4 linked regions of the Caenorhabditis elegans genome follow. The protein of the gene in region 2 purifies or fractionates together with the protein of the main gene of each other region. This does not show direct contact. Each region holds a gene or a part of one and is shown on either strand. Other genes may lie near its edges. The genes, in order: ran-5, ran-1, xpo-2 and ran-4.

The links.
Region 1: the proteins of ran-1 (region 2) and ran-5 fractionate together in Caenorhabditis elegans (co-fractionation; one large-scale study listed by BioGRID). This does not show direct contact.
Region 3: the proteins of ran-1 (region 2) and xpo-2 fractionate together in Caenorhabditis elegans (co-fractionation; one large-scale study listed by BioGRID). This does not show direct contact.
Region 4: the proteins of ran-1 (region 2) and ran-4 fractionate together in Caenorhabditis elegans (co-fractionation; one large-scale study listed by BioGRID). This does not show direct contact.

The regions. Positions count from the first base shown.
Region 1 is NC_003280.10:6,046,124-6,050,254, forward strand, and holds ran-5 (RanBD1 domain-containing protein), read left to right. Parts: upstream 1-1,985; 5' UTR 1,986-1,987; coding exon 1,988-2,054; intron 2,055-2,103; coding exon 2,104-2,216; intron 2,217-2,265; coding exon 2,266-2,421; intron 2,422-2,469; coding exon 2,470-2,604; intron 2,605-2,651; coding exon 2,652-2,766; intron 2,767-2,812; coding exon 2,813-2,904; intron 2,905-2,953; coding exon 2,954-3,298; 3' UTR 3,299-3,563; downstream 3,564-4,131. Other genes in the region: R12C12.6 (Transmembrane protein 9), read right to left, coding at 280-377, 433-776, 1,350-1,489, 1,541-1,744.
Region 2 is NC_003281.10:10,746,081-10,749,618, reverse strand, and holds ran-1 (GTP-binding nuclear protein ran-1), read left to right. Parts: upstream 1-1,890; 5' UTR 1,891-1,892; coding exon 1,893-2,010; intron 2,011-2,058; coding exon 2,059-2,184; intron 2,185-2,231; coding exon 2,232-2,353; intron 2,354-2,400; coding exon 2,401-2,589; intron 2,590-2,636; coding exon 2,637-2,729; 3' UTR 2,730-3,038; downstream 3,039-3,538. Other genes in the region: dkc-1 (Putative H/ACA ribonucleoprotein complex subunit 4), read right to left, coding at 1-414, 464-942, 985-1,071, 1,130-1,177; rib-2 (Exostosin-like-3 homolog), read right to left, coding at 3,094-3,280, 3,333-3,484. UniProt on the Caenorhabditis elegans protein: Ran GTPase system comprises ran-1, ran-2 and ran-3 and is essential in nucleocytoplasmic transport. Ran-1 is a GTP-binding protein that mediates the interaction between mitotic chromosomes and kinetochore microtubules.
Region 3 is NC_003279.8:317,890-325,283, forward strand, and holds xpo-2 (Exportin-2), read right to left. Parts: upstream 5,464-7,394; coding exon 5,254-5,463; intron 5,205-5,253; coding exon 4,896-5,204; intron 4,500-4,895; coding exon 3,186-4,499; intron 2,529-3,185; coding exon 1,849-2,528; intron 1,240-1,848; coding exon 936-1,239; 3' UTR 660-935; downstream 1-659. Other genes in the region: nol-14 (Nucleolar protein 14), read left to right, coding at 5,971-6,045, 6,090-6,351, 6,400-6,764.
Region 4 is NC_003279.8:8,589,231-8,592,601, reverse strand, and holds ran-4 (putative nuclear transport factor 2), read right to left. Parts: upstream 1,388-3,371; 5' UTR 1,386-1,387; coding exon 1,289-1,385; intron 1,248-1,288; coding exon 1,156-1,247; intron 1,113-1,155; coding exon 1,014-1,112; intron 969-1,013; coding exon 855-968; 3' UTR 624-854; downstream 1-623. Other genes in the region: tmem-208 (Transmembrane protein 208), read right to left, coding at 83-195, 250-367, 418-510. UniProt on the Caenorhabditis elegans protein: Facilitates protein transport into the nucleus. Could be part of a multicomponent system of cytosolic factors that assemble at the pore complex during nuclear import.

The sequences.
Region 1 (4,131 bases), on a different chromosome or scaffold from region 2:
GTGGGCACTTGCCGAGAATCTCCTCATCTCTCTCACTTCTTCCGCCGCGGCGGGTCGCTCACAACAAACAGCGAGTCAGGGACATAAGAAAGAGATTAGAGACGCAGACGTCACTATTTCGCTTTGACCCCTCCGTTATTTAACTGTCATTGTTTAACAGGTAATGAGAAAAGTGTTTATGAAGGTGAAAAATTGTTGGCAAAGTATTTGACAAAAATATACATCATACGGTTTTAATAAATTATGAATGATTTTTAAACCCTTTTGATTGAAAAGTAACTAGTTGAGCATTGTATGATCTTCGAAGATATTCCTTCGTTGCTCCTCGACCTTCTTCATCCAACGATTCTGTTCGGCCTCGACGCGTCCGAGAACATCTGAAGAAAATACTTTTTTAGTAAAAACTATAAAATCTTCAAATGGAGCACTTACTACTTCTCGCACGTGTGGTTCCTTGTGTATCCATTGAATTACTTGCTGAAGATGATTCATCGTCAGTTGATGGAGCAGCAGCAAAGATATTATCCTCCATTTCATCATTATGTTGTTGATAACTGATCGATAATCGTTTCTTCCGGAGCATTGGATCCAGGCACATAAGGAATACCATGTATCCCGTTAAAACAGCGATCACACAGATTACAAATATTACAACTACTTTTAAGAGCACAGTGTTTCGTGACTCATAACGGCAGTCGCAATTTGCAAGAAATGCATCCATATGGGTCTCGTCAACGAAGTTACTGACTTGATCTTTCACAATGTTGCTTGGCTTGCTGAAATGTTTGAAAAATTATATTTCTTTGTCGAATTTAAGGTTTATTTGTGTAAATGATGAATTTGAGCTGTTGAAAAAAATTAAAAAAATAAGTGTTGAAAATGTTTTAAAACTGATCAACATGTTTTTTTGATGAAATGGAAGGAAAATAAAGACTTAGAAATTCGAGATTTCATGGTTATGATTTATTTTTATTCGAATTTTTACAACGATGTAGATTCTCAGCAATAGAAAATAAAAATAATTGTTTTTCTAAATCATATTTGTGGTTTTCTGAAAGAGAAAAAATTAAAACTGTGACTAAAGTTCCCACAAAAATTTCTCAAATTTTAACGTTTATAAAACAGTCGGAAACGTTCAAATTTCGATGAAAAAAAGAAATTCAAATTTGCAATTGCTTTGAGCGAAATAATACCATAAAGGTGGGAGAATTTCATAACTCTGCCAAGTTATTTTTGATGTGGATTTTTAGCAAAAAATATCAGAGTGACTAGGAGATATTTACATATTCGGATTTGATATTTTATATTTTCTATTAAAACAATTCAGATTTAAAATTAAAAAAACTCACCAATGGCTCGGTTCGATGTTAGTTTTTGTATAAAATCGTCTCCTCAATCCTTCTGTTTTTTCAGTTGTATTTTCAGCCAAGTCGAGAAATTTTAAAAGACTCGGACAAATGCATCGACATCGTGTATCTTCGAAGTTAGCCTGAAAATATTTATTAAATTATATCTTTATAAAAGTAGTTATGAAACAAACCTCAGTCCCTGCTTGGGATAATGCGGGAAGAAACAGTAAAGCAATAAATAAATATATCATTAAATCTGAAAAAATTACGGAAGTTGGACTGTATTTTTTTTTATTTTTGCAAGAAAATAAAAAATGCTCTGAAAAATAGAATACAAGTAAAACAAGAAGTGCGCCAGTGCAACTTACTGGCGCTTTTCGCGATGGCTGACGCATTCTTCGTTTCACTTTTATGATGTTCACAACGAAAATCGAAGAAATAAAAACTTGCACTTATTTTTGTCTTAAATTTCAATTTTTCTTCTGCTTGTTGAGTAATTTTTCAGTTCTCAGTCTAAATTACTTGCTAATTATCTTCATTTCAGTCTGCATGAATACTAATAATCGATTTTTCGCATTTTTTTTGCAATTTCTATCCGGTATTTGTCTTTTTTAATTCATTCGTTACTATTTTCAGTCATGTCAAAAGGTTTTGCTTTCAAACCGTCTGCTTTAGCTGCCAAGGCAGATAAACTGTGGTCAGATAGTAAGTTTTCAATTTTGTGTTATGTTATCTAAGTCACGTGAATTTGCAGGCAAAACAGAATACACAGCAACTCATTCAACAATCAACCACGTTCATTTGGAAAAGAAATCGCTGGGCGATATTATTCCGAAATCAGCAGATGCGCCTGTTGCAAATGAAAAAGTTCGTTGAAACACAATGAGTCAAAAAATTCGTTTTCTTCTAATTATAGGAAGTCGAAGAGGCTCCACAAGCATTTGTTTTTGGCTCCAAAATATCAGATCGTGTTGTGAACAAAGAAGGTGATTCAACAAAGCCGGGTGGTTCAGACGAAAAGACCATGACAGCAACTGAGCTCTTCCAAAATGCAGTTAAAAAAGATGACGATGTAATCTATATTTCGAATCAATATTTCTATTCATAATGTTAATTTCAGAAAAATGGAGCCAAAAACTTCAGAAAGGAAGCTGAACAAGAAGCGGAGAGAGCAAAGGAAGCCGAAAAGCAGCATGCCGGAACGAGTTCAGTCGAAATCACCACCGGGGAAGAGAACGATACTAATATTTTCCAAGTGAGGCAGTATTCATTAAAACATAATTTTTATTTATTTGTCTTTAGGCTCCTTGCAAAATTTGGGCGTTTGATAAATTGAAAAATGCCTACTCTGAAAAGGGTGTCTGCAATCTCAGGATCAACAAACGAGTCGAGAACGGACTGACGCACCACCGAATTGGTAAATACTGATAGTTAGAGTTTATTGTATTCAAAATTATTTTCAGTGGCAAGAACATCTTCCGGTACTCTTCGTGTCATCATAAATTCCAAAATTTTCTCTGATATGCTTTTGGAGCGGGTCGACAAGAGAATTCGAGTGAGCTTTAATGTTATATGAATATATGTTTTATTGTTACTGTTTACAGATTTCCGCAATGGGACCAGAGATCAGCGGTGTTCAGATTTTCCTTCTAAAAATCGGATTCACCAAAACTGAGACGATCCCCGATTCGGATATATTCTACAATATTATGAGCGACCTGCTGAAATTGGAGAAGGGAGAGAATAGTCGGAAGAGGAAAGCGGATTGTGATCTGAACGCTTCAACTGTTAAAATCAAGGATGGAAAGGAAGAAGAAGAAGGTGATCAAGATCAAGTTGATGAAGGATTTGTCATTGTAAACAAGCCAACAGAAGATGAGGTGAAAGAAGAAAAACCAGCTGTTACAGCTGCCGAAGAATCTGCATCCAGCTCAACTCCTTCCGAATAACCATATCAGTCATTGCTTCTTTCAACTTCCCCTGTGCTCTTTTTTCTCCTTCCAATCCCCACAAAAATGGTCTCCAACTTTCACCCAACTCAAATCATTTCCCCTTAAGTCTAATTTCTTTATTGCTAAAAATTTCTTCTAGATTTCTACCAATCTGGCCTAACTTTCCAATTTCGTTTTATTCTTATATATCCCGTTTTATGTGTTTGTCGAATATATTTGGTTTGTGAAAAAGAGAAGAGTTTGCAATAAAAAGCAGAAATACAATCAAGAAGACACTTAGACAATGGCGTTTCGGTTATCAGTGGCGCTCTTACTGAAGGAGGAGGAGAGCGAGATAACGATCGTTGTGGGGTGATCGATTCAGAATTCAATTGGCAACACCATGATCATTTATCACCTTGTCAATTCTGTAGCATTGTTTCAGTAGGAGAAGATTTTTTTGTAGTTAAATATCAATTTTGAGTATAACAAACGCGATTTTTGCACCTAAAATACGGTAGCCGGTCTCGTCACGACAATTTTTAATACTTAAAAAAAAATTGTATCAATTTATTTATAAACTCTAAAATAACACCGAAACACTTCAATTTTTATAAATCTAGAGGAAAAATCGATTCCGCATCAATGAGAGTTTGAAGTTACAGTACTCCTTAAAGGTGCACACACCTTCTTGCATTTAATAAAAAGTTGTCGCGTTGAGACCCGGTACCGGTTTTTTGGCGTCTTTGTAATAAACCCCTTTGAATTTAGTTTTGAAGTTTAAACTTTGAAGTTCAAAGTTTGAAATTATCCCATAATATCTAACCACGCGTCGGGCGTTTAATATCATA
Region 2 (3,538 bases):
ATCGTTGATGTGTTCATCTGAGCAATAGCGATGCAGATGGCTTCTCCCTTCGTCGACATGATGACGATCTCCTTGCCAACCTCGATGTCATCGTCGTAACGAAGAATTCCGGGAATAAGGATCTTGGCTCCGTAGCAGATCGCGTTGATGCAACTGTCCTTGACAACAACTCTCTTGTGCTGGGTGAGAAGAGCCTCAAGTGGACGAACGATGTGTCTCATGTAGCTCTCGTCTTTCTGGGTGTCTAGGAGATACTGAGCATCGAGAACGTCGTGCATTGTGACCATATTCTCGTTTTCATCGCAGATTCCGGATCTGTTTCTGCGAAGCTCTTGCATTTGACCTCCGCATCCGAGGATGAGACCGAGATGCACACAAATTGTACGAACGTAGGTTCCCGACTCGCAGATGCAGCTGAAATTAAATGAAAACTAGAAATTAGATTTATTATAAGGATTCTTACTTGAAAATTCCCATCTGTTGAGCTGGATCATACTCGATGAACTTGTTCTCGTAAACGGTACGAATACGAAGCTGACGCTTGACAGCTGAGATCAGTGGTGGGCGTTGGAAGAGGGCTCCGGTGAGCTTCTCGAGGGCTTGCTTCACCTTGCGATCATCCTCAACTTCCTCGTGGAGCTTGAAGATGCAGATGTATTCCTTTCCAGCTCCTTGCTGCGACTTGGCCAAACGAGTGGTACGGTCGATACAAACGATCAGACATCCCGATACTTTTGGATCGAGTGTTCCACTGTGTCCGGTCTTCTCGCAACGAAGAATTCTCTTGATCCAGGACACGACTTCGTGAGAAGATGGGTTCGATGGTTTGTCAAGATTGAAGAATCCAGACGAAATGTAGTTCTTGATGTCACGCTTTAATGGTGATACTCCCTCGACGTGTGGTGTGTAGTGATTGGTGCGCACATTCAATTTGTCGTAATTCTGAAATAATAATTTAATTTTTAAATGAGATCACTCAACTACCTTGAGCAAAAGTGGCCACTGGGAAGCATCGAGCTTGGCGGTTTCGTTCGAGGATGGAAGTTGGAATGATCCCTTCTGTTGAGCCTCCTGAAATAATGAAAATGTACTCAATATTTAATAAATGGCTTGAAAATTAAAAACTAACAGCTAGATCGTCTCCCTCAAGCTTGGAACGCTTATCCTTCTTGCCCATGATGAGATCTTCGCTGAAAAAATAACATTATTGACAAAATCCAACAGTTCTGAAGCGATTAACAAGAGTTTAAAGATTAATAAGGTTCTAATGAACTCCAAATATGCCTCATAAGCTCGTGGAAAGTGTCAAGAAGCAGAAAACCTGCCAGAAAACTATCGATTTTTTGAAAAACGAGAGAAGAAACCCCCATTGGCAGTGTGCCAGACGAAAGAGACACAGGCTGCGTGTGTGCCCCTATGCCTCAACACACACGGGGTTCTACGCAAAAACATTTTCGAATTTTGTTCATTTTGGCGCGCAAATCTGGCTTGTTGCGCCATTTTCGAATACTTTTCTTGTCCCTGGCGCCAAGTTTTGTCATCTTTTTTCGGTTTTTTCATTCATTTTGATGCATTTGCGTTGTTTCCTCAGTTGGTTCACTGTAATTTTCGAGTTCTCTCTGATTTTGCTCCATGAGCAAGCTCTGATCACGAGATAATCTCTCTGCTCAGCTTCACGTCTCTTCTAAAACTTTTTTGCTCAATTCTAAATACACATTATCCGAACATTCTTGTTTTTGAAATATTTATCCACCGCTTCGTGATTTTCAACTGAAGCTTCGGTAATACGTAGAATTTCGCAATAATTCGCATTTTCGAAAAGTTTCGTGCTATTTTCCTCTTGACAATCTTTTTCCTTCGTATTTTATTCTCCTCATCTCCTCATTTCAGTCATGTCTGGTGGAGACGGCATCCCAACTTTCAAGCTTGTCCTTGTCGGAGATGGAGGAACCGGAAAGACTACCTTCGTTAAACGTCACTTGACTGGAGAGTTCGAGAAGAAGTATGTTGGTAAGTAATTCAGGAATTTGTTTCTCCCAGTTCAATAATTGTTTTCAGCCACTCTCGGAGTCGAAGTTCACCCACTTGTCTTCCACACCAATCGCGGACAAATTCGTTTCAACGTTTGGGACACCGCCGGACAGGAGAAATTTGGTGGTCTTCGTGACGGATACTACATCCAAGGTATGTTAAAATTCGAAATTATAACTTCTGAAATGCCCAATTTCCAGGACAATGCGCCATTATCATGTTCGATGTTACCGCTCGTGTCACCTACAAGAATGTCCCGAACTGGCATCGCGATTTGGCCAGAGTATGTGAAAACATTCCAATTGTTCTCTGCGGAAATAAGGTAATCACTAGCTGAAACTGGCCAATATATTCAATTACAAATTTCAGGTCGACGTCAAGGACCGTAAAGTGAAGGCCAAGACCATCACCTTCCACCGAAAGAAGAACCTCCAATACTACGACATCTCCGCAAAGTCGAACTATAACTTCGAAAAGCCATTCCTCTGGCTCGCCAGAAAGCTGCTCGGAGATCCAAACCTCGAGTTTGTCGCAATGCCAGCTTTGGCTCCTCCAGAGGTATTTTTAAATCCATGTTCTTTCATAAGCAATATTTTAATTTCCAGGTTCAAATGGACCCAGCCATGATTGCCGAATACGAAAAGGATCTGGACAACGCCGCCAAGGCTGATCTTCCAGATGACGACGATGATCTTTAAACACTTTAACCTTTCAAAATCCTTGTTTTCAAATCTCACAAAACCATCCCACCTAAATTTACCATTTTATACATTTCATATGCCAATTAATTTCTTAACTTAAAAATAATTTGCATACCCAACCGGTGTCTACAATTCAAAGTGCTGGCTTGGGTAGAAGAAGGATTGTACATTTGCTGTTTGATCGTTGTGCGAATGAATTGAAGAAATGGTTGGCTCATCACTCTCAATCTCCATGATTTATTTTATATTTTATGTTCGACTAAAAAATTTTAAACAACTTGTTGCAATAAATTGTAGCACCATTCGACAAGTGAATTATACCGGCAATAGGGAAAGTGAGCAAATGCAGAGGGGGATTTTTTTACACATATTTAAAGCACTTTTGATGATTCTGTGGGAGACGCGTCTTGAAAAGAATCGAGTCAGCACGGAATTGGGAGAATTTCAGAGGATTGTAGCCGTAGATTTTCGTGAACAATCGCATACATTCGTGGCGTTTCTCGAAATGTGTCCCTTCTTTATACAAGCTTTCCGTGCAAGTTGGACATCTGAAAATTGAAATTATTATTAGATTAGACTCATTTAAAATCTGGAAATTACTTGAGCGTCCATCGAGAAGTCGTTTTGATTGGCGGTTTTCGTGTGAGATGAGAAACTAAATAATTCATAGCAATGTCCTCGCAGTTTTTGATGCTATTCACATGTTCACGAATTTCAGCTGGCATTTCGTAGGTGTAAGCAGTCAAATAGTTCTGAAATTTTTAACGTTTTAGATTTTATACGGGTTTTACCCAGACGCGGGAATT
Region 3 (7,394 bases), on a different chromosome or scaffold from region 2:
TTGAGGTTCAAGACTTTTTAATTCGGAATCAGCATATATTTTTCCATATTTGAGTAGATTTTCAGAAATATTGTACCATAATTTTTCGAGATATTTTGAATAATAACTTACTTTTCGACGTTTTTTGCCTTTGTCCGGTTTAATCCATCGAATTTCGAAGCGGTTTGCGTAGATTAGCTGAAAACATTATGCTTATTCCACGTAGTAACAAGAAAAAACAAGAAAAAATAAGAAAAAACGAAGAAAAATAAGCATATAAGTCAAATTAAAAATGTTTATTCGATCAAAATTCTTAACCATAGGAGGCGGTGGCTAGCCGGCGCACTCTCGCGGCCACGTTAGCTTTGCCTCCCCGTGGAAAGGAGCCATGATATTACGGAAACACTATTTGAATTCTGAGAACGCGAAATATCTCGTAGCGAAAACTACAGTAACCCTTTAAATGACTACTGTAGCGCTGGTGTCGATTTACGGGTTCGATTTTTAAAATTATTTTTTTTGTTTTTTGTGTGCGTCATCGATTACTAAATTATAAATTATTTCCGTAAATCGACATACAATCGCTACAGTATTCATTTAAAGAATTACTGTAGTTTTCGCTACGAGATATTTTGCGCGTCACTCCTTCAGGCACCACATCTTACACTCAAAATCGAGGTGAATTTCTGTGTATTTGACAGCAAAAATGTCGTGAAAAACAATTAAATAAGGCAATTTGAAGAGGAAAAAACTGGGGCAGATGTGAGATAAGAAGAAGAAGAAGCGGGGCTTCGACAACCGTAAACTAATCAGAGATGGAAAGTGAGAAATTTGAAATTTAAGACAAAAAAGTTAACAACGGGGGATTTTTTTTAGAGAGAAAGAGCGAGTAATCGGGCAGCAGCAGAGAAAAAAAAAGATAATAAACAATTGAAAAAATATAAATATCGGGGAAATTATTGCTGAATAGACTGCAAATAGGTGACAATCTCGGGCGGTACAGAACGAAGTGTCTCTGGACAATTTCCGGGTCCACGGACAAGAACGGCCTGCGCAAAGTAGGCCTTGTGGTTGGCGATGTTGGCGGCGACGGGCGGTTGCTTGGGAGCGTAACTCAGACGACAGAATGGGTTCACAAATTCTCCCTCGGCGTTGTACATTGAAGCTTGCTCTTCTTCTGGTGATAGGACGGCTCGATCGGAGGCTGAAGCAGCTTCCAGCAGCATTGCCACCTCGTATGACAGAATTCCGTATTGACCACTGCAAAAAAAATTTATATGAGAAATTGAATTTAAAATGATTTTATTTGTAATTTTGTTTTTGTTAATTGTCGTTAATTGTTTTTTTTTTGAGAAAAAACCGAAAAAAAAATTAAAATCTTCATTTTTGATTTAATTTTTTTGTTGAAAAATCGGCAGTTTTCGATTTTGTTTTTTTGAAAAAATAGGGAAAAGTCGGTAATTGTCGATTTTTCAAAAAACTGAAAATTCCAGATTTTGTCAGGAAAAAAAACGAAGAAATCGACAAAATTTCAATTTTATTTTTTTAAATTTGTGTTTTTCAAATTTTTTTTTGATATGTGATTTTTAACTTTTCTCTGGAAAAAAACCGAAAATTTGCAATTTTTCAATTTTTTCCAAAAAAATCTTTAAAAAATAGAAAATTTTCGTTTTTTTTTCTGAAATATTTAAAAATTGTAACTTTCTATTTTTTTTAAACCCGTATTAAAGTTTAAAAAAAAAATCGGAGAAAAAAAAACTGAATCGAAAATATGTGATTTTCAATTTCCTTTGAAAAAAATATAAAAAATCGAAAATTTTCGTTTTTCGATATTTTTTCTGGAAAAAAGCCTAAATTTTCATTACTAACACAAGCTGCTGCGTGACATCGGCTAGCAAATTGCCCATTCCAATGGCAATAATCCGTTTCTCAGGCCCCGTTGTCGTTTGTTTCAGACCTGGCAAATCAATGCATACGACCTTCTCGATGAGCATTCCGAACATGCCAGTCTGAATATTCTCACACGATTGAACAAGATCCTGTGCACTCCGGGCGATCGTAAATCGACACAAGAACACGATGAATAGCTTCATAAACTTGGGTGTCTTCGACGATTGAACTCTTCGAAACATTGTATTGAGCACAAATGTCATCGCGGAACCCTCGAAGTGCTCAATCGACGGAAGAATCGTCGCCGCCAACTGGAAACCGTATTGATCCAAGGTTTTCGAGCCCAAAAGCCGCGCCAAATGGCTCAAGATCAACCCAGAATTCTCCGAGACGACTCGCTGAGCATTCACGGAAAGGATCACTTCGAGAACCGAAAGTGCCGCTGGAACATTCGCTGATCTCGCCCAAAGACGTTCGGATAGCAGAAACGGAAGGAACGGTGAGAATTGATCGATCGATGAGTTTCTAGCGATACATGAGGAGACGAGAACTCCCGTGATTTGGAGAGCATATGGGATGAGATCTTCCAAATCCTCGCGGAAGATCACTTCGATCAGTGGAAGGAGTTGAGCATCCAGTGAGGCGCCGATTGTTCGGGTCTGGAACAGGAAATTCGTTAAAAAATATAAAATGTTCTTAAAATTGCTATCACTTTTTTTTTGAATAAGAAAAAAAATCACAAAAAGGAAAACACGAAAAAGCAGACAAATGTTTCGATTTTGCAATTTTTAATTTTTTTTTTTCAGAAAAAAATTATCGATTTCTTCTTTAAAAAAAGAAGATTCTTTTCGATTTTTTCGGAAAAAAACATCGAAAAATTGAAAAACAAAAAGTTTTGATTTTTTTTTCAGTGAAAATCGTTCAATTTTTCGGGGTTTGTTTCGACAAAAATAATTAAAAACTAAAATTTTTCAGTTTTTAGGTTTCTTATCAGAAAAATTGAATTTTTTCGATTTTCCGAAAAATTAAAAAAAGGTATATTTTTTGAAAACACGAAAACGGAAAAGTGTTGGTTTTTTGTAAATTTTTGCGTTTTCCAGCAAAATTGCCAATTTTTCCGAAAATTTTCAGATCGAAAGTTAAATTATCGATGTCTATTCCAATTTCCGAGTTTCAGCGAATTTTTTTTTGCAGAAAAATTTCAGAAAATTTGACAAGTTATGTTCCAATTTATGAAAAAAAATTTGAGACCAAAGTGCGGCACGGAAAAATGGGCGGAGTTTAGAGTGGTATTTTTCTCTCAAACTACTCCTTACCTTGGTGATCAACACACAAATCGTCTCAAACAAAAAGTGCGTGTGCACCGAATCCGCCGGATTTTTCGTCGCCGACTCGACCAACTGTGCGAGCTTGACCGCAATCGCGTCCGCATGCCGAATCGTGTCGTCATCGAGAATCACAATGATCCTCAAAATCGCCTTGATCAGATACGGCGAGTTTTGCGCTTTGGCATCCTTGTCGAACGCGGTGACAAGGTTCTGAAGGATCGAGGAGACTGGAAGATTTTGAGCCGAGAAGATTTTGTTGGAATCAGCGAGAAGGATCTTTTCAATAGCGTAAGCTGCGTACTTGTGCAGAATCGGAGTATTCGAGCTGAGAAGAGCGTCCGCCGACTTGATCGCAGTCATAAGGTGCTCTGGAGCCAGCTGTTTCCTGAAAGTGACCGCAAACTTCAGTGCATCAGCTTTAAGGATCGGAGTTTGATTGACATCGGCGTTGAGATGTGTGGCCACTTGTGTGATGAAGAAGTCGTTGATGTCCACCAGCGGGTTCGTCGCCGTTACTCCACTCTTAGCAGTCTCCGTCTTCACCGCGATCGCCGTGATCAGCGAGTAGACAATGTCGATCTTGATCCAATCACCACTTCCCAGCAGGTTCTGCACGATCTCCCCCAGACATGGAAGCATTTGCGCCTCGAATCTTCGGCAGAGACCTCGCGCAAGATCGATGGCTCCACGGCGTCGAGTTCCTACATCGGTACCCTCGATGTCTCGCTTCATATAATCCAGTGGCTCATCCTCGAACAGTTCCATATCCTGTTGACGAAGCAGAAGGTTCTGAACGCACACGTTCTCGGCGAGAGTCTTCAGAACGCCTTCACCAGTGAAGTGTCCCTCGTAGTACTGTCGCTGGCTGACCATCGACAGAAATTCCAGCGCGGCGCACACCATCGTATCGTATCGAGTGTCGGGGCCGGTAGACTTGAGCAGATTCCAGACGGCAAGGATGATGTCGGGCACGAACTCGGAGATCTCCTCCTCGTAGCGTTGCGAGTAGAGCGTGAAGATCTCACAGATCTCGTGCTTAAGCTCGTCCAGAGTTGTAGGTTCTCCCGAGTTGGAGGTCTGCGTCGGCGCGTCGATTTGCACGAGATGCAAGAAGTGTGGCATCCAGTCCTTGAGATGATCCTCGAAGTATTCCGGAATCTCCTGTGAGCACAGAGAATGGTAGACTTTTGCAATGAGAAGTAAGACTCGGAGCCATTGGGCGATCTCGTCGGCTCCGAGTTGATCCTTCCGCTGTCCCACCTCCATCATGTTCCGTAGCAACAGAGTTAGAGGCTCTTGGGTCTGAAAAATCGGTTCTTTTTATTTGTAACTGAAAAATCTGGGGAGAAAACAGTTTTTCGGTCCAAATTCGAGACTGACATTCAGATTTCTTCAATTTTTTGGCTCAAAAATTTTGAAAATTTGTCCATTTTTATAGGAAAATTATCAATTTTCGCCAAAAATTCCTCATTTTTGCTTTAGTTAAAATTTTTGACTAAAAAATCATAAAATGTTGAATTTTTCACGATTTTTCGGAAAACAAGGCCAGCTTTAGCTAGCTTAAATGTCTAATTTTGGTCATTTTTTAGGGTCAAAGCGGACAAAAATTCAACTTCCGACGGCTGCGACGTAAAAAAGTGGCCAAAATTGGGGATTTTAGCTGAAATTAGCCAAATTTTGAGCCAAAACGCAACTCACGCTCAGTAGACACTTCTTCAGCTCTTTCCAAAGCTCTGCTGACTTGGATTCGAATCGGAATTTGCGGAAAATCTGCTCCATCGACGCCAGCGAGGCCACCAGGTGATTGAGATCCGCTCCGTTCAGGAATTTCGACAAATATGGAACCAAATCTGGCCATTTTTCGGGAAAATCTCTCTGAGCGATGAGATACAGAGCATTGGACAGGATTTCCTGAACATTTGATTTTGTATTGAACATCGCTTCGAGAAGCATGCTTCTGAACTGCTCCTCGTCTTCCTGGCCCATTTCTACCTCTGGTGCCGGGCCCTGAAACAATTTAAATATAAAATTCACGCATTTATTCAAATTTTCCAACCCAATTTCTCTTCACAAAATTTTTCAAAGCGACAGCCGCGGCGATTCGGATCTGCGGAGCAATTTGTTGCTGTTCGTTGACCACCAGTTGAAGAATTTGAATGATATAGCCTGGATTTGATTGCAGCGAGCGGAGCGCTTCTTCTCCACGCTTGCGAATCGCAGCATCCGGCTCCAGAGTCTGCTGGAGAGCTGCTCCGATTTGCTCCATCTGAAAATAGGGAAAAATAGCTGTTTTGGGGGTGAAATAGGGAAGAATTAGGTGAAAGGACAAAGATAGTTTAGCTTAAAACTTGAAATCTAAAATTTCCGGTCAAAATATTAAAGTTTTACGCAATTTTTCGCAGGCCCGCGGGGAATAAACTCGCAAAAATTCGCAAAAATAAAAAAAAAATTTCAAAAGTGTGAAGTGTTTGCGTACAGCGCACCCGACCCGACGCGCAAATTTTTTTCATTATGTTCTCTGTTTTCACTGATTTTTACTGATTTTTCCTAGTTTTCCCTTGATTTTCTTCAAATTTTCCACTTTTTCAGCAAAACGTGCATAAAAAAATAAATTAAAACATTTCAATTTTCAAAACTTTGCAAAATAAAGGCGTCGTTGCGTACAATGCGCACGACTTGACGCGCAAACTTCCCAATTTTTATTCTTAAATTTTCCTGGATACCCCTGGTTTTTTCTCTGTTTCCCCCCTAATTTTTCGCATTTTCAGCAAACATGGGTGTTGATAAAAAGCAAAAGCAACGAAAAACCAATCCATTCGAGCTAAAATTCAACAAATCCAAGCATGACGTGAGTTTTTCAGAGTTTTGAAGAAAAAATCGATTTTCTCGCAGATTCTCGGCCGGAAAAAGGGCGCACAAGTTGGAGCACCGACTGCGTCACGAAAACGAGCTCACGAGCAACGTGAACAGACGCTAGGCGTAGAATATGACCGGAAAAATAAGATTAGCAAAATTGTCGACAAACGGCTCGGCGAAAAGGACGGAAAAAGCGAGGAGGAGAAGGGCGCGATGAGATTCACAGAGGAAAGAGTCAAAAATTATAAAAGAGCATCGAAATTCAACTTGACAGATGATGGAGATGAGGAGGAAGAAGGTTTATTCCGAAATAAATTGAGAAAAATTTTAATAAAGTAAATTTCAGTACTTACTCACAAGGGAAAAGCGCTCTCGGACATTGAAAAATACGACAAATCGATGATTTCCGACTCGGATGACGATGAAGAGCCGGGAAATTTGGGCTCAAATATGGTAAAAGTGGCTCATTTCGGTGGTGGAGAGAAGACCGCCGAGGAGCACGTCCGCGAAAAAATCAGCCGAGAGGATATGATTTCGAATTTGATTGCGAAAACGAAGCTGGCGCGTCACGAGAAGCAACAGCAGAAGGATGAGCTCGAGCTGATGACAGAGTCGTTGGATTCCAAGTATCAGGCTTTGATGGGCAAAATGAAGGCTTCATTTAGGCCGACCGGGCGCCAGCCGCTGGAAAAAGATGATTACGACAAATTGGTACGGGAAACATCCCGGTTTTCTCCAAATTTTTAAGATAAAAGATAATTATAAATTTAGAGTGAAAATCGATTTTTTTCACAATTTTTTAGTGGAAAACCTAAAACCCAAAAAACTTGATCTGAAAATGCTAATTTTTAACCATTTTTGCTATGGAAATTGGAAATTTTCATTAATTTTGCTGTAAAAGTTGAAGAAATCCAAGTTTTAGCTTTGTAATCAGAGAAAACACTGTAAAATTATTTCGGAATTTGTGCAATTTGAAGTGAAAAATAAAACATTTAACTTCTTATCGCGAAAGAAATTGAGCTGAACTGAGAATTTTTTTGACGAAAAATCATTAAAAAGTCAATTTTTTTGACAAAAATTCGAGAAAAGTCGGTTTTTCTTTTGACAAAAATGACGAAAAAGGCAATTTTTAATTTAAAAAAATAAATTTTTCGCCGAAAAATAACTTTAAAAAAGTCGTTTTTTTACAAAATAAAACAATTTAAAATAACTATTTTTCGACAAAAAAATTAAGAAAAAGCCAATTTTTTTGTTTAAAAAATGATAGAAAAAGGCTTTTTTTTTGTTTCTTCGCCTAAAAAATCAAGAAAAATAGGTTTTATTCCATTTTTTATCCAAAAA
Region 4 (3,371 bases), on a different chromosome or scaffold from region 2:
AATTATACATTTGAAGATAGAATATTTCATTTTTGAACTATTAATGCGCACTTTCCCACACTTTTTTTTTGCAAAAACTAACTTGAATAATGACTGTCAGAATAATGGCGTCTTTACAGTATTCTCCGAATGCTTCTGGATCGTTCAAATCGGCACCAGCATCCAAAACATGTCCTTTATCGTCAAGCTTTGCTTCTAAAATCATAATTTCAGATTAATACAAAAAATTAATGGGTAAGACAAACTTACTAGCTAAAGATTTCATGAAAAGAATAGCAAAGATCTGCACGAGCGCTGAGACAGCAAAAAATACATAATCGGTGGAAGAGCACTGGCTCAGAAACATACACGATGAATAGTAGATTGCCTAAAACAATTTTTAAAAAATCGTTGAAATGTGAAATTACAAATGTTTACCATGCTAATCGTGCTAGCCACACTATAAGTGGTGACAGTCTTCTGATTCTCCTCATAGATCTCTTTCTGCCCTTTTGTTGCTTGTTTCACCATCTGTATTTAATTTTTATATTTTTGAGGTCATTGCTGAAAAAGTCAAAGGTATTGTAAAGGTTGAAAAACCACTAATAATAACGAATTAAACAAAATTTTCTCGATATCTCGGAAAGAAAATGATAAAAACTTCATTCTTTAGTTTGAACCGATTTGCAAACTAGAAGTTTGAAATTGTGCGAAATAGTAAAACGACACGAAACTGTGTGGGGAAAGAAACCGATTTAGAAACATGGAAAAAGCCGGGTTGAAATAGATATTTAAGCAATTTGGTGAAAATTCAGTTCTTGAAAAATTGTTCAATACGGGGACACATTTTGATAGGAAAGTGGACGAATTGATATCTAATTGTTGTGCAAGTCAAGTCGGAAGATCTCGTTTCCGATGAAGTAGGAACCCTGATTGTTTGGACGGAGAATAAAGACTTGCGAGAAGGGATTGATTGGATCTTCGTCGGTCTGAATAATTTTTTTTCGGTTTTTTTGAAAACTACTTCTACTTACCTTGAGCTGACCAAGAACCATCACTTGAATTGATCCATCATACAGAGGCTGAGAGTCAATCACAGTGATCGCTCGTTGAATTTTTGTGAATCCGAGAGTCTAAAAGTGTTTCGTTATTGAACTCTCGTACTTTTGCACAAACCGTGAACTTTTGGAGAATTCCGTCACGGCCTTTCGCTTGCTGTCCTTCAAAAGTCATGTAAGAGTTTTCTGGGTCGTACAAATCGGAGAGTCCTGAAATTCACTAAGTTTATTGTTTTTTTCAGACGAAATACCTTGAGCACGACTCATTCCATCGCCAACATCGAACTTTGAGTAGTAATGTTGAATGAAGGCCTTTGCAACACTTTCGTAATCAGGATTGAAGCTCATTCCTTTAAAAACGACAAATTGGGAAAAATAATTGAAAAAGAGTAAAAATAAATAAGATAGGTAGGAAAAAGCAACGAAGAATACGATAATTTTCGAAACAATTGAATTATATATTTACTCGAGATGGGTTGTCTCAATAAATTTTGAAAATTAGTTGTTAGATGAGCAGTGGTCTTGCTCGCATTGAGAAAAATAAACAGCAACCAAATTGTTTTTTTTTAGTTTTTAAAGTTTAAACCCTCGGCCTCATGTTTCAGTTTTCGAAAGAACAGTATTGTCTTCCTGCGTTTTGTTCGTTCTTGGGAAGTTTAATTAAAAATAATTATGAATTATTTGATTCCTCACAAGAGAAAACCGATTAAAAAAAATAAAAATGCCTAAATAAATTGGAAAATCAGAATAAAATGGCAAGGTGCCAGCATCGCGCGCACATTTTGTAGCATAATCCAGCGGAGCGCGATTACTGCACAGAAAGCGAGAGAGTGTGTAAACGAGAGAGAACACGTTATGAGCAGAGAAATCGCCTTGTCGTCACTCTTTTTGTTGAAGAGGCGCAGAGAAAAAAGAGTTGGTTGGCTCTGTTTTTATGTCTCTTTGAGCTCGCCAAAATGGAAAACAGAGCTGGAAAAGCAACAAAATAACGACAAAACCACTGAAATTATGTTCCTCTTTTGTTGTTGCTCCATTTTTTATTTCTTTCCATTCTACCAATTGAATAAGAAGTTAAACTTTATTCTTACTCCGTAATGTTGGCATTTCAAAAATCAATTTTCTGTAATTTATAGAAACTTGAAATAATTTTCCATCTCTGCGCATCCTCATGCCTTAGCGAACACCATATATGTATGTTCTTTCACTCTTCCCTTTTCGGCACCTGACCAGTCTTTTGAAGCCAACGTTTTCTGAAAATAAAGAACCGTTACTATTATATTTTCACATCATCCAGAACTGAAATGATATCAATTTTCGAGAGCTCATTACATCAAACTCATCCAGTCACATTTATGGTTACCTTGGTAACAGTTCATTGACAAAATTAATGCAAGCAATTCCGAACTCATTACATACTGCTTCTCACATGATTATCAAAATTCTATGAGCGATACATATACTCAGTTAGTTTTCAAATGTAGATTTTTGTAATTGAAAGGAAAATAAGTAAGCCAAACATTTTAAAACTAAATTGTATACCATTTTGCTGACTGAATTTGAGCAAGCTTTAAAACTCCCAAATTTTTTTCTAAAAATGGAAGAAAATTTATGTGAACCTCTAACTATGTGTCGATTTACCCAGCTTGTGTAATAGTTCGAGAATCAAAATTTTTTTAAAGTTTTTGGTCTTGATTTTTGACAGTATTAATTACATCTTTCTCAAAAGGAAAATCCCATCCAAGATAAAACATTTTAGCCTGTAAAAGTTGTGAAATCGCCTTAGAAGAATATGTGAGCTTTTTTCAAAAATCTCAGTCACATTTTGGAAAACTGCCAGATTTTCTAAAGATTTTATTTTTAGTAATTCCGAGCATCTTGCAGGTTCATACAACGTTCAAATACAAATTATTGGAACGTAGTTCAAATATAAAACTTGTAGAAAAAGCAACGTAATTGTCACTGAATACGAAAACGTATAGCAAATTTTGAAAATGTTAACTATGATGTTCGCCAATTTGACCATATGAGTGATTTAATTTAAACCTTTAATTAAAATTTTCATGAATGTGGCCGAGTTTTTTCACATTCGCGGCCACGCAACGCAGAAATATGTACATGGGTACAGTAACCCCTCCTGTCGAGTTAAATATACTCTTATAGGAGAGAGCTCTTAACTATTCACATGTACGAAAAATAATAATATTTGCCAATTTTCTCGCTCTCAAAATTCCATTTGAAAGAGAGAAAAAACTGTTCTCGATACACGAAGAAACATGCGATATATGTTAATCATAAAACCTTCTAACTTTTTATGTCAGTTTCTATTCTCTTCTC